Linked DNA regions of Coturnix japonica. The protein of the gene in region 1 interacts with the protein of each later gene in a pairwise test. Links are inferred from orthologs where the notes say so. Each region holds a gene or a part of one and is shown on either strand. Other genes may lie near its edges. The genes, in order: FGFR1 and GRB14.

The links.
Region 2: the proteins of FGFR1 (region 1) and GRB14 interact in a two-hybrid assay, tested with the Homo sapiens proteins (2 studies listed by BioGRID, with this or other methods). The link is inferred for Coturnix japonica from reciprocal best matches to the Homo sapiens genes FGFR1 and GRB14.

The regions. Positions count from the first base shown.
Region 1 is NC_029537.1:3,722,925-3,730,179, reverse strand, and holds the start of FGFR1 (fibroblast growth factor receptor 1), read left to right. Parts: upstream 1-2,691; 5' UTR 2,692-2,895; intron 2,896-7,255. UniProt on the Homo sapiens protein: Tyrosine-protein kinase that acts as a cell-surface receptor for fibroblast growth factors and plays an essential role in the regulation of embryonic development, cell proliferation, differentiation and migration.
Region 2 is NC_029522.1:26,425,019-26,431,569, reverse strand, and holds part of GRB14 (growth factor receptor-bound protein 14), read left to right. Parts: intron 1-2,220; coding exon 2,221-2,358; intron 2,359-3,008; coding exon 3,009-3,119; intron 3,120-3,313; coding exon 3,314-3,409; intron 3,410-3,932; coding exon 3,933-4,013; intron 4,014-6,210; coding exon 6,211-6,327; intron 6,328-6,426; coding exon 6,427-6,484; intron 6,485-6,551. UniProt on the Homo sapiens protein: Adapter protein which modulates coupling of cell surface receptor kinases with specific signaling pathways. Binds to, and suppresses signals from, the activated insulin receptor (INSR). Potent inhibitor of insulin-stimulated MAPK3 phosphorylation.

The DNA.
Region 1 (7,255 bases):
TAGGTCGATGAAAATAGCAGAGGAACCTCAGAGAAAGGAGAGCACTCTTGCAGTGGCTGAGCTCAGTGCTGCAGCCCTTTAGCCTGGGACAGCAGCATCCTGGAGCCAGCATGGCCAGAGTGGGGCACAGGGAGGTGAAACCCAGCAGTGCTGGCAGCGATGTGGCTGCAGCCAGAGCCTCTAATAACACTTTATTGAGTCAGAGCAGAGAGGGAGAGAGGGGGCTTCCTGTAAAGGCTGTACTCAGCTCCTAAATCATGCCCAGCAGCTAATATTTGTTCCCTGGTGCTGCTGGTTTTCATGAGTCACATTTTCCCTGGGAAACTTGGTGTTCTGCAGGCTGCCAGGTCCACAGTGTCCCTGTGGCCGGTGGCAGGGTGGCCAGGACTGGGTTTGGGGCTGGGTTTCTCCTTCTGATGGTTCACCAGACATAGAGCTGTGCAACTGGAGAGCCCCAGCCTTGGGAAAGAGTGGCTGAGCTGCTTGTTGTGACTCAGATGTTCCAAGGTTTGCTCAGGTCGGCAGCACACCTGGAAGCTCTTCAGAGCAGTGCGTGGTCCTGCAAAGGCTGCGTGGCAGGAAGAAGCAGAGCAGAGATGATGGGGCTGGTGCAGGCTCCCATTAGAGCATGGTCTGGTTGTCCTGAAGCCCACCCAATGCACACATTGCCCTGGTACAGGTGCATACTCGGTGCACATCCAGCCTCCAGCACACTCATGTATGCGCTGCAAAGAACACACGTGTGCACACACAGCCCCTCTTGCAGGCAGGCAGACCCACAGCCAGGCAGAACCAGATGTGCTCAGGCCTTTTCAGGGAGGGATGAAGCTGCAAAGTCTTTGTCAGTCGGATCTTTCAGGGAAAGCTCTTTGTTATTCAGCATTTGCTCCTGCCTCCCCCCCCCTCCAAACCCAAACTGGCTGCATCTGCTTTTGTTTTCTAAATGCAGAAGTAGGGACTGAAAGGAGCCCCTTTGTGGTGGGGAGGAGGGGAGATCTGCGGATCTTTAAGTGGGAAACCGAAGGTCAGGGCAGCCCCTATTCTCCCAGCAGCACCTTCAGTTCTTCCCTTGCTGCCCAAGCACAGCAGCACATGCACACAGATCCTGTGGGCTGTTCTGCCAACGGAGCCTTACGTCCCTTTTATCCTCATGCTGTTCTTGATTAAGAGCAGTTCAACAACAATCCCGGGTTCCTGTGAAATCCCCATCTGCAGCACCTTGAGGCTGCATTGATAACGTGGGATGGAATGGCACATCATGGCCACACATGGAGAACCCCCCGGGTGGGCAGGGGGCACTGAGGCACCATCCCCAGCCTTGTGCCCACCAATGTCCCAGCAGACTCCATCACTCTCAGTGGCAGAGTTGGGTTTCCTGCTCTTCCAATAGGACCCATTTATGCTCCACTTGTGCCACCAGATGATGATAATTCATGGTCATTCCCACACTGAGCCCCAGTTTGATGCTGGGGATGTGGATATACCCCTGAGCCTCCTTGGGCAGGGGATGCTTTTCCTATTGTCTGCCAGTTCTTTTGCTCATAAGGGCCCATTTACCAGTGTCTGTTGATGGAATCCAGCAGAAAAACCATCACAAGAGCAAAAGGGACGTGATTCCTCTGCCTGCCTCTGTGCTTCCTGCTCTCAGCAGCCTCAGTTTGCCAAGGGAATAACGCATGGTACCTTCCCCTCCCTCTGTCCACACATCTGTCATCCTGGAAAGAAAGTATTCGTAGGTCTTGGCACAACACTCTGAACAGTTGCCTGAAGCAGCAAGAGGCTGTTCCTGAGATGGATGCCCAGCATTTGGTTCAAATATAGCGATGGTGATTGACAGGGCTAATTCAGCCTGTCCTCTTCCCTGTTATAACTTAATCACTTGCACATTGCCTCGCGCAGATCTTTCCCTGCCAGCCAGGAGATGTCTTCATTCTGGGCTGCCTTGGTGTGAAGCTGACTGGGGGCTGCTGGGCTGAACCCTGGGCCAGTTTTGGGGAGCTCACCCAGAGCTGAGCTCCATCTGTGGGTCAGGCCAGGCTGGGCTTCATGGCACGGCCATACACCTCCATGTCCTCAACTTGAGCATCCAGCACAAATGCTGCCTGTGTATGCAGAGATGTTTTGGGGTGCTGAGCTTTAGGGCAGCACCAGAGCTCAGGGAGAGGTTACCCAAAAGCACAGCACAAACTGCAGCAGTGGTGGTGGCTCCCAGGAAGGTGTTGGGTATGGAAACTCCATACAAATCGGCCCCACGATGTGGGTTAGGGGTAGGGATAAGGGTAGGGTGCCCGGGGTGTCGCAAAGCAGAAGATCTGGGGTACAGGGCTGCCCCACACCTGCTCCCTGTGTGCAGTGTAGGGCACACAATGGGGTGAGTCACAGCCGAGAGCAACGGAGCAACAATCCGGCGATCCCCCCGCTCCACGAGCGGAGTTTTCGGGGACCACCGCCGCCTTCAAACCCCCCCCCGCCCCACTCCCGAGAGTCCGTTCCGGGGCGGCTGCCGGCAGCTCAGCCCCGGGGGCTCCGAGGGGGCGGCCCGGCGGTGACTACAAGCCCCATCAGGCCGCTGAGGAGGAGGAGGAGGAGGGCTGGGAGGAAGGCGGGGGAGGAGCCGGCGGGAGGCGGCGGGGCGCTGCGGGAGCGGCTCAGTCCGGCGGCGGCGACTCGCGGCGGGGACGCGGCGGTGCGGGCAGCGCTGAGCGGCGGCCGTCGGGGCGGACCGCGCCTCCCGGGAGCGCATCCCGCCGCCACCTCGGGGCCGGGGTCCGCCATGGGGCGGCCGCAGTGAACGCGGCGGCGGCGGGGCTGCGCTCTCGCCCCGGCCGGGGCTCCCCTCCATTGTTCCCGGGAGCGGCGGGCACCGCGCCTCCGCCGCCGCCCCGCGGGACTCCGGTGAGTGCGGGGAGAGGGAGCGGGGCCGCGATTTGTGCTTCGTGCGGGGGGGGGATCGCTCCGGGATCGCGGCCATCCCCATCCGACCGGGGGGGGCGGCCCGACGGGGCCCCTCTGCGGGCAGCGCGGGGCTGCGGCTTGCGGGTACCGAGGGCGCGGGGCTGCGGTACCGGAGGTTCGGAGGGTTTAAGGACACCGGAGCGGTTCGGTGTGTGTGCGGAGGGGGTTCGGCTCTGAGCCCCAGGGCACCCCGGGCAGCCGCCCGGCGGCACTTCGGAGGCGCGGTGGCTCGGTGCCCGGTTCTCGGGTCGGTGCGTTCTGCTCGGTTCGGTGCCGAGCTCCGGGACTCTCCGTGTTGAGGATCCGGTGGGAGCCCGGAGCTTCTGCCCGGCCTGCGGCCGCCAAAAGTTACTGGGCGGGAGTCTGGAGGTTTCTAAAAGAAGATGGAGAAGGAGCTGGGATTGTTGCGTTTGGAACTCGAGATGTCGGGGCCTTTTCGGTACAAATCGGCTGCGGAGGCGATGGAAATGAGCCGGGCTGAGATCTTTGTGCGTGTTGGCGTGGGAGGTGAAGGGGATCGGAGCGTCCTTTGCCAGCATCGGGGAACGGCTCCTGCGTGTGCGCAGCGTGGCGGCCGCCTACGCCGCAGCATTGGCGACATCGCGGGGCTGATGCGTGCGGGACCGATGGGCGCGGGGCTCCGCGTGGTGCCGTGGGGTCACAGCGGTTCGGTTCTCGGTTTAAGGCCGGCGGTTGCCGCGGGGAACGAGCGGCGCTGAGTGTCCATTTGAGGCGGATTCCAGCGAGCGGAGCCGAGCGCCGTGTGGATTGTTGGATAACTCGGCGGTGCTCCGGGCGTCACGGCTCAACGGCCAGACCTCCAAAGTGCGATTTAGCGAGTGCTTGCGTTAACAAAACTGCGGCTTTGGAGGCTGCTCCCAGGCACAGGGAGATGGAGCTTTGTGCTCGGCACTGATTTGCAATCATGAGATCCCGGGATGTGCCCGGCCGGGATGCTGCAGGACCCCGCACCTCTCCCTCCGGCCAGCAGCCATTTTCCCCGCACAGGAGCACTTCCTCCCTTAATCTCCACCGTGCCTGGCATGCACCGTTGCTTTCTTGTGTTGCTCAGTGAGGATTAAAACAAATGAGGATCGTCCCTGCCCCGGCAGGAGCAGCGCTGTGCTCTGTGTGCACTGCGCCCACTGGGAAGGAGCCCGAGCTACTTTCAGGTGCAAACGGGATCTCTCTGTTTATATACCTGAAAACAAATGAAGTGTATTGGGAGCTGAGGATCTCCAAGCCCCCATTGCTCAGCCGGGCCTGGAGCACAGATGCTTGTCCCAGCAGTTTGACTTTACCCTCATTGGGACCTTCTGCTCCTGGGGATGAAGGCAAATGTGAGCAGCGGGGATAGGTCTGCGTGTCCTTCCGCCCGCAGTAGCTTTCCTGGGAGGAGCTGAGTGCAGCAAACCCCATCCCGCTCCCTCCCAGCTGGGTAACTACTCTGCCTCTAACAGGGGGTGGGGGCTGTGTCCCTGTGTCCCATTCTAGGGCAGCTCTTTGCTGGAGCACTCAGCACTACCAGCATGGAGCAGCCTTTGAGGGATCAGCATGCCTGAAAATCAAGCCCCCAGGTGGGCATCCCTTCTTTTAAACCTGATCTGCTTTTACTGAGCCTTGTGCCCCACCAGACCCCCATTCACATCACTGCATGCACGCAGTGCGCTGTAACTCAGTGCTGGAGCCGTTGGTGTGCAACAGGCTGCACCATGTGGCTGCAAAGGGTTAATGCTGAATGCAGCCCGCACAGTTGGATATTTATTTTTCCAAGCATGCGTCTGCTTTAAGCATTACTGATTTTCCCTATAGTTACATCTGCAGTCGTGTTTGCTTTTTATTTCAGCAAATACTTGGTTTTGAGCGGGCGGTTGGGTCAAGGAGTGCAGGGCAAGGAAAAGGTTCCCTGTGCCACCAGGAGCTTTGCCTTTGCTGTGCCCTTCTGCTGCAAGGGCACATGGAGGGGCTTGGAGCCAAATTCATCCTACATCATTGTCAGGGTCTCCCATTTGTGGTCACCATCTCCTGCCCATGGGTGGGAGCATCACCTCAGGGTCCCCATGTGGAGCAAATGGAGCCCCTTAGGGATGTCCTGGTGACCCTCCCAGCCCCATTCCCACCTGGGGTGTCCCGGTGCCGTGGCCCTGCTTGTATCCTCACCTTGGACACTTTCCCAGGGATGAGCCATATGCTGGGAAGGGGTTTCCCCACTGTTCTCTGCTCAGCATTGGGCTGTGTATCCTATGTGCAGCTCACTCAGCCCTGACTCACAGCACAGGGCGAAGGTCCGGGGTCATTTTGAGGACAGCAGGGCTGGCAGGTTGCACCTATGTGGGCAAAGGCTGTGCTGGGGTGGGAGCGTGCACAGGTGGGCATAGGGGTGTTCCTTCAGCTCCTAAATAGCCCCGTGGGTGTTGTGGCCGTTGTAATTGCAGGTCTCTAAGGGGCCCTTAGCTCTGGTTCCTCGCTTTCTGCTTCCATTTTTAGTCACTTGAATCCACCCCAACCAGCAAATTGCAGCGTGCAGGGACAGTGCTTGCATGGAAGGAGCTGGAAACTCACGCTGGGGCTGGAGCAAGCAGATTCCTTTGGGGATCCATATCTGCACACAGAGCGGAGCTGTGCATTGTGTGCACAGGTTGGAGGGTTCCTGGGCTGCTCTGCCTCGCGTGCATCACTATCCCTGCTGCAATGGAAACTCTCTGCTGTCGGCCCCTGAGTCAGCGCCCGCCCCACTGCAGCTGAGCCCCACTCTGTGCCCTGACTCACTGCTGGGAGCCGCTGTGTGCACCGTGCTGGGGGGGGGGGGCTGTAGCCACTCCACATTAGGGCATGTTCCGGGGGGTGCTGATAAACAAAACCTCAGAGAGACAGAAAATACTTTCCAGAAATGCCATTGAATTTGTTTCTTTCCATGAAGCGTTCCCACCTCCTCCTTCCAACCGCTGATAAATGGCTCACACTCCATCAGTGTTTTCACCAGCTATAGATAATGCCCGTGTTTGCTGGGTGTTCCTGTCCTTGTGTGAATAGTTTGGGTGCCAAATGCTGAAGAGCTGGTAAGGGAAGAGGCAAAAGCTGCCCCAGGGTTAAATGAGGTCCTTTGGGACAGAGGATGCCCCGTGGTGGGAAAGGGTTCATTGGGAAGCAGGAGCACGATGGCATCCAGGGCTCCAAGAGCACGTGGGGGGATGAGTGGTGGCCCATTACTCACTGCAGTGGTTACTCACCTTGTAGTAATGTGCATTGGAGCCAGATCCCATATGGCAAAGAAGCACTTGTTCACGCGGTGCGCTCCGCACGGGGCTTTGGGGTGATGTCAGAGCAGCACCAGGTGAGCTCATGTGGCTGCAGCTCCACCTCTGTGCCGTCCCCTTCACACCCTCTGCTCCTGGAGCAGCCATCCATCCCAGGGTTGTGCAAGATGGGGCACGGAGCCCTGTGGGAGCCCAAGGGGGCCATTAGTGACCGCGGGTGTCAGGACCTCGGCTGGAGGCTGTTGTGGAGCTGCAGATGTCGCGGAGGGAGGAGTGCAGTGCTTGGATTGCAGCCTAAAGGCTTTGGGGTCTGACCGCTCAAGTCGGGTTTGGCTGCGTTGGAGCACAGAGCAGCACAGCTCAGTGCAGGGAAGGGTGGAAGGCAGAGAGATGTGGAGGGTGAAGGAACATCCTCCTGTTCCAGCTCAGCCAGTGCCACTGTTGCACATACACCAAAGAAGTCACCGCACTGTTCCCACAGCAAAGCAGCTCCGGTACCTCCCATGGGGTCACCCCAACACCCCAAAAGGGCTCCAGGAGCCCTCAACCCAAGTTAACCATATGAGCACCTGCTGCTCTGCCCCCAGGGCCTGTGCTGCTCTCAGTCTGGAGCTGCCTGGGGTGTCTGTAGAGGAAGATGTGAAAACAAAGGGGTTCCGGAGCTGAGCAGCAGCACCTCTTCCATCCCACAGAGCCTCAGTCTGGAGCCTTTTCCATTTTGTATCAGAGCAAAGAAAGTTCAAGGAACCCAAAAGCAGCTCCTGCCAAGCCGTGACGATCCAGCTCCTTGCAAACAGTTTGATTTGTATGAGAATTGCCGTTCTCGGTGCCAACTGTGTGAAGGAGGAGGGAAAAGAGGAGAGCAGAAACCTCCTTTCTCTTTAAACAGCAGTTGAGGATTTCTCCCAGCCTTTTGCTGTGCTCAGTTTTTGCTTTGCCAGCACTTCTGCTCCCAACACAACAGCGGTTTTGGGGGATGGCTCAGAGCGCAGCCCTCAGCACCACCAGGCAGGGGGGTCCCATAGAGCAAAGCAGCTGTGGGA
Region 2 (6,551 bases), on another chromosome or scaffold:
TTTTTTTTTGCTTGCAAACAATCTCATATTTGAGTATTTTAAGATGAAACTGTTTGCCATTTATACCCGTGCACAGAACCTCTTTCAGCCCGCAGAACAGAACATATGTGGTATGTGGAAAATGTGCAAGGCTTGTGGATCAGATTGAGAATCCTTTTGAATATATATATAGTTCTCTCCAATTTTGTTAAACTTGAAAATTGCTTGTGATCCCTCATCTGTTGCTATTTTATGTTGTATTGTATGTTTAATTGCATTTGGGCTAACAAAACTTGGTAGACATAAAGACCCACTCAGATTTGTAGCTACCACGTTTGTTTCAGCAGAAGCTCTTCAGTCAATAGTTTACAGTGGGTTGCTATTTCCTTGGAAACTTTCATTAAGACAAGTTAATGGTCTTGTGTTATTATTTGTGATGTGCTCGGTCAGGTATCAAGAGAGACATTAATCTTAACAAATCAATGCTTACAAATGATTAAAAAATCACTTCTGATACTTTTATAGCTTTTTGTGGATTGACCTGTAAGCAAGTAAAATGTTTTTCAAGTATGATTTTCTTGACTTTCACAGAAAGCAAAAGAGGAAGTTTTTTTGTCTCATGACTTTAAATCAGAACATCTAAATGGCCTTAAAAAAACAACCAACAGCAAACAAAATGTATACCTGCCTCCTCTCTATTTAGCATGTGCTAAATAGAATCACTGGTTCCAAAGTATGCCAAATGTCTATATGCAACAAGATGGGGTATTAATCTTAGCTATAAAGATCCTTAGCCTTAAAAAGTAAACAAGTTTGTGATTATATTGCTTAGAGCGTGAGCGTTCCATATGCATGTGTCTAGTTGCAGTCACTTTGGGTTACTTGGAATACATATTTACTTATTTTTGCAAGTAGGATGCCTTGAAATAAAATCAATGCAGTATGTAGATTTTAATTAGAAACCTCAATGACAATGAAATATTCTATTATTTTTATGTATTGAGGGTTTTTTTTGTTTTGTTTGAGAACTGGTAACTCTCAGGGGTGGGCAACAAATTCATTCACTTGGTTTGATTAGATGTGAAACTTGTGTATAATTTTAAGTAGGACTTGTGACTTGTTTAAAATGTGGTCTGTTTCTTGGAGCATCTCTTGGATGTGCATTGGCATATTGGAAATATGAATTCCTTTGCATACATAGAAATTGGAAAGTTCTGGGTTAGTGTGTTTAGGTGTCAGTCATAATTCTGATTGGTTTTACTGAAGGAAGAGGAACAGAACTGAATATGTTAAATGGAATTAGAGTACAATTTTGTAGACAGAATAGAACTATATATTTGGTCTTCACTAGGTGACAGCTGTATTGCTCTCTATCAGTGTCTGGCTAAAATGGCTAAGCAGAAGTCAGTGGATGTCTTGAGCAGAGACTGTGCAATTAGCTGAATTGCACAAAATAAAAAACTGAATTAGCTCCTCTTGGTGCATCAGTTAATTTCTATCCATATCATTCTGACTTTCCAAGGGTCTGTGACTGTGCAAGCCTATGGTTCTGAAGACAAAAGGGCTGACCTTCTGAGTCTTTAAACCCCTCCTGTCTTGCTCCTGATGCAGATTTTTTCAGCCAAAAGCTCTCCACCACATGACCTTGAATGCGGGCAGTAAATACCTGCTGTAGCTCTTGGTACAACTAAAGCACCCGCTTTAGCATCACATAAGGTCCAGAGACCTTATGTTTCCTCCTCTTTAGAAAATGGTAGTATCCTCCAGACGCGTGTGGATTTGTGATAAAGAAATTTTGTTTGCTGAATTAATTTTAATTCGCATCAGTTCCCTTTTTTGGTCTGTAGCAGGCAGGGGAGGGTGAGGAGAGATGTCATTTTTTTTCCTTCTGTTGGTAGCATTGATTTGCAGTTTTATAAAAATAGGGTCTGAGGTATGGGATCAGAACTTCTTACACTGGTTTTGTTGCTGAAGTCAACATATTGCATAACTAATGTTCTCATTTCAAACCATATGTTCCATATAAATATGTAGCTTGCCTTGCATACCTTGGAGTTATGTAATAGTCTGTATGCTTTAAATGAGAGGTACTCTTAATGGGGTTAGATCCAATAACTGAATTACTGTGGTGTAATAGTGTTATCAGCAGTATATTCCTCTTAGTCTTGTCTGAAGATGATAATGAAATAGCAAGATGACCTCAGATAAAAAGAGAAATGTGTGGCTGATATTTTCTTTCAGATGTTCCTAAGCTCCAGCACATATCCTGAGATTCATGGTTATTTACATGCAAAAGAGCAGGGAAAAAAATCATGGAAAAAATTATACTTTGTTTTGAGAAGATCTGGCCTTTACTTTTCCACTAAAGGTACATCTAAGGTAAGGCAAGGAAAAAAACACCAGAGGAAAGAACTCTGAAGTTAGAGTGCGTGTATATGTATTTGTCATTTAATACAGTATTAATTCTAATTTAAATTGTACATTATGTGATTAAAAAGGAAATGTTTTGTATTCTATCTATTGTAATGGGAAAGATTCTTCTTATTTATTTATTTATTTATTTATTTATTTATTTATTTTTGCCTGACTTAATTAGAGTTATCTTGGAAGATGGAGGTAATAGCTACAAGTAATACTCAACAGTAATTACTGCAGTGTGATGTTTTTCAAATTCTAAAAGTATATTTTATTTTGATGGTTGAAATGAATTCTACTCCCAAAACTTCCAAATTCTACTCCTACTGTGACGTGAATCTAGTAGATATTTTCCCAGAAATCTGATGCCTTCTATACTTCATGTTTTCTGTCTGGAAGAGCAAACTATTTGACCAGTTTAAGGTATTTGTTCTCTGCATTAAGAAGTGAATTTTGAGTTGCCTCTTTCTAGATTTCATGAGACAGCATCACAGTTAAAACTGAGATGTAAGACCTTATTTTGGAACAAGAGAACTGCTGTACTATTCTGAGTTTCTTATCTGGAGATGCTAGCTAAAAGTAGTCTAACTGTATTACATTGCTCTTCTTTATAGGAGCCAAGGCATCTGCAGTTTTTCTGTGAATTCAGCAATAGTGATATATACATGTCTTTGACAGGCAAAAAGATTTCTGGAGCACCAACAAGCTATGGATTCTGCTTTAAGGTACAAGCTTATCATTCTGATACATATTAAAGCAAGCCACAGTTTTTCGGTAAGCTTAAGTTTCTTTAAGGCTTTTGAAAACAATGTTCAGCTGTCTGTTATAAAATAGGAGAATTAGTGGCTTTTATTTCAACAGGTATTATCTTCAAGATATGCTTTAATGCTAAAAAAAAAAATGTGCTGTGGCCTTCTAGCCTAACAAATCAGGAGGAACCAGAGACCTGAAACAGCTCTGTGCAGATGATGAACAAAGTAGGACCTGTTGGATGACAGCAATAAGGTTGTTTAAGGTAACTTTTCTGTGTGGAGTTAACTTCTTTCTCAAGTTTACTATGTTAATTTTTATAGTGTGAAGTAGGGAAATAACATAATTATAGGTTCCCATGTAATAGCATTATCAATGCTATCAATGTACGACAAAAGCTGAAGTTTCATCTCACCAGACAGGCCAAATTACTGGAATAATCGTAAGGGAAGGGATGCACTTATATGTAACTTTGCTGAACTTAGAGACAATGTTGGTAATGGCAAACAAAGCTACAAGAATACATGAGATGTTTTAAAAATGTGTTTGTGGAAAAAACAGGTGTAGGTCAGTTGATGTATTAAATGAGCAGAATTTCATGTAGAATGTACGTTTAGAAAAACTAAAGCAAAAACGATGTTGTTTTTCATTATCTTAACAGCATTTGTCCCTACTTTATAATGATAAAAAATCATGGAATCATAGCATTGCCTTCTACACCTGGAAGAAAGTTTCTTCGGCTCAGGCTTATGGTTTAAAATGCTAACCATATTATTTTCTGTTTTTAGTATGGGATGCAGCTGTATCAGAATTACATGCAACCATATCAAGGTAGAAGTGGCTGCAGCCCTTTGAGTATAACACCTATGGTACGTCCCACAGTAGCTCCATGAGTAAATATACTGTTTCTGCAGTCATGCTATTTTTAAGTGACTTTTGCCAGTTACACTACTGACCTGGTCCTGCAGATTTTAAATGTGCTTTGAATGTGTGAAATCTTTAGGGGCATCTGAGTAGATGAGAGAGCTAATTAATTAATTTACTTATTTAATATGAGTTGGGCAGTTCAGACCAGTTAGCAGGCTTTTCTCTTTTGTCAGATAGTCAGTATTTGGGGAGTTTATTGGCTTATTATCACTGTCAGTGAGGATTTAAAAAAAGTAGCAGAACTGTAAATGCATTAAAAAAGAATAACGTGCTTAAGGTTACATGTACTGTAAACGATGAATAAGAAAGCCTTAACAAATCCTTTTCAGTATGCGGTAATGCTTCTGTCTCTGTCTTTTTTCTTTTTTTTTTCTTTTTTTTTTTTTTTTTTTGTAACTGCCCCATATGGTTATTTATTTAAATTGGATTTAACCTGTTGTGATACTGCCTGAAGCTCGGAGGAACACCATAATTTGGCAAAAGTGCATTTTGGAGGCATAGCACTCTGTAGACTGATGATCTGTTTGTCTCCTCAGCCAGATAATTTGGGATCAGGTTGTCCTTTTAAAACCTTATCTTACTTATCCCAGTCACTTCTTTTTTTTTTTTCTTTTCTTTGTTTTTGAGTGATGTATAGCACTTTGTGCTTTTTATGGTTTAAATTGTGTAAAAATTGCTTGTTGCCAGGATCCATTATGATGTTTGGTTTTTTTTTGTTTGTTTGTTTGTTTTGAGCTTTTTAATGTAGTTCTTGCTGACAAAACACTTAAGATGTGTATCTGCTTTTATGGGGATTCACAAAAATACTGTTTTCTGATATTGCTGATAAGCACGGCTTCACAATTACACTTAATATACAGACTATTTATACTGTCTGTTACAAGAAGCTAATGATAGCCAGCTGCTACTTTCATAATGGGTGTGGGAGCCATTATTGATTCTGTCTCCTCTTGCACAGCCACATACACTATAGCACATCTAGATTCTAGTGCCAAATATATAACTGGGTTAAGCATGATACAATTATTATACTTGTCTAGAATTTGTGAGTTAAACAGAAAATAAACTCAAGAATGAAGTGATTAAGCTATTGAAAATAGAGAAAGTGTTTTCATAGAGAAAGTATGTTCAGGTTTTCATATTCCAGATTAGTTTATAACCTTGCCAGCAACAAGAAGTTCCCTCGTCTCTCCTAGAGTCAGACACTGTCTTATTCTCCCTATTATTTTGCTTTTGCCGAGTGTCACAGTTACTCAGACCTTAGACTACAGTGACCTGTAGAATTACTGCCTTCTGTTTCTAGTTACCCTTGTGCAGGGACAAAACAGAGCTCCTTTGGTTTTGGACAGAAATCTGGGCCTCCTGTGTTCTAGATGTTACTTCAGTTCCGGAAGGTTCTTTTAATTATTTGTCATAGCAGCACCAGCCAATGTTTGAGACATTACAATCAGCATCAAACAAGTTTTTTATAAACCTGAATTTCAAAGTAGTGTTTTGGTGAGCTTTAAGACCTGAAATTGTTTTTATTCTGTTGTTAAAAACTTGATATTCACTGGGAGGGAAAGAAAAATCAGGCTTTTTTTTTTTTTTTTTTTTTTTTAAATACCAGATTGCATAATTGTTGAATTTGTGCTTGTTCTTTGATGGCCAGGAATTTGAAGGGGAGTATTAAAACAGAACTTAATCTCCAAAGAAGTGCCTGTTTCCAGTGCTTAAATGCAGTAAACTTTGAGGGAAAAATTTTACAATAAATACATAAATTATAGCAAAAAACTTTAATTCTTTGCTTATATGATGATTACGGGTAGGATTTTCTTATTTTATCTTTTTTTCTTGAACTACTTAAGAATAGTTACCTTACACATATAAGTAGAATTTATGTTAAAAGTGTGTATAGATGTATCACAGTTCTGCAAAAAAGATGATTTGTCCTGCCAAGCTGTGAAATTTAGTTCTGTAGCAGTGGACAGGGCTGTACCTGTGGTATAATGAGTTTGGCTGTGGTGGGAAATATTGCAGATATTTGAAACGCTGTTTATAAAACATAGCACTTACTCAGAAGCTCTATCTTAAAACATGGATCATTAGTTAAAATAATAAAATAGAGAAACAGACTAAATCTGTTTTTCTTTTTTGCAGAGGAGCATTTCAGAAAATTCTTTAGTTGCAATGGATTTCTCAGGACACAGAAGCAGAATTATAGAAAACCCAACAGAAGCCCTTTCCGTTGCAGTTGAAGAAGGATTAGCCTGGAGGGTATAAACATCTTTGTTTTATCAGAATACTGTTTCTCAATCTTAACTTATTTATTTTTTTAACAAGAAAATATTGAAATCATTTTTAATTCTCACACAGAGGAGAGGCTGTCTGCGACTCAACTCACATGGTAGTCCGATTGCCATGTCCAACATGGGTATGTGTGATTTATTTCATTACAGAAGAAATGCAGCAGTTGTTTCAATAAAGCCAACGTATATTTT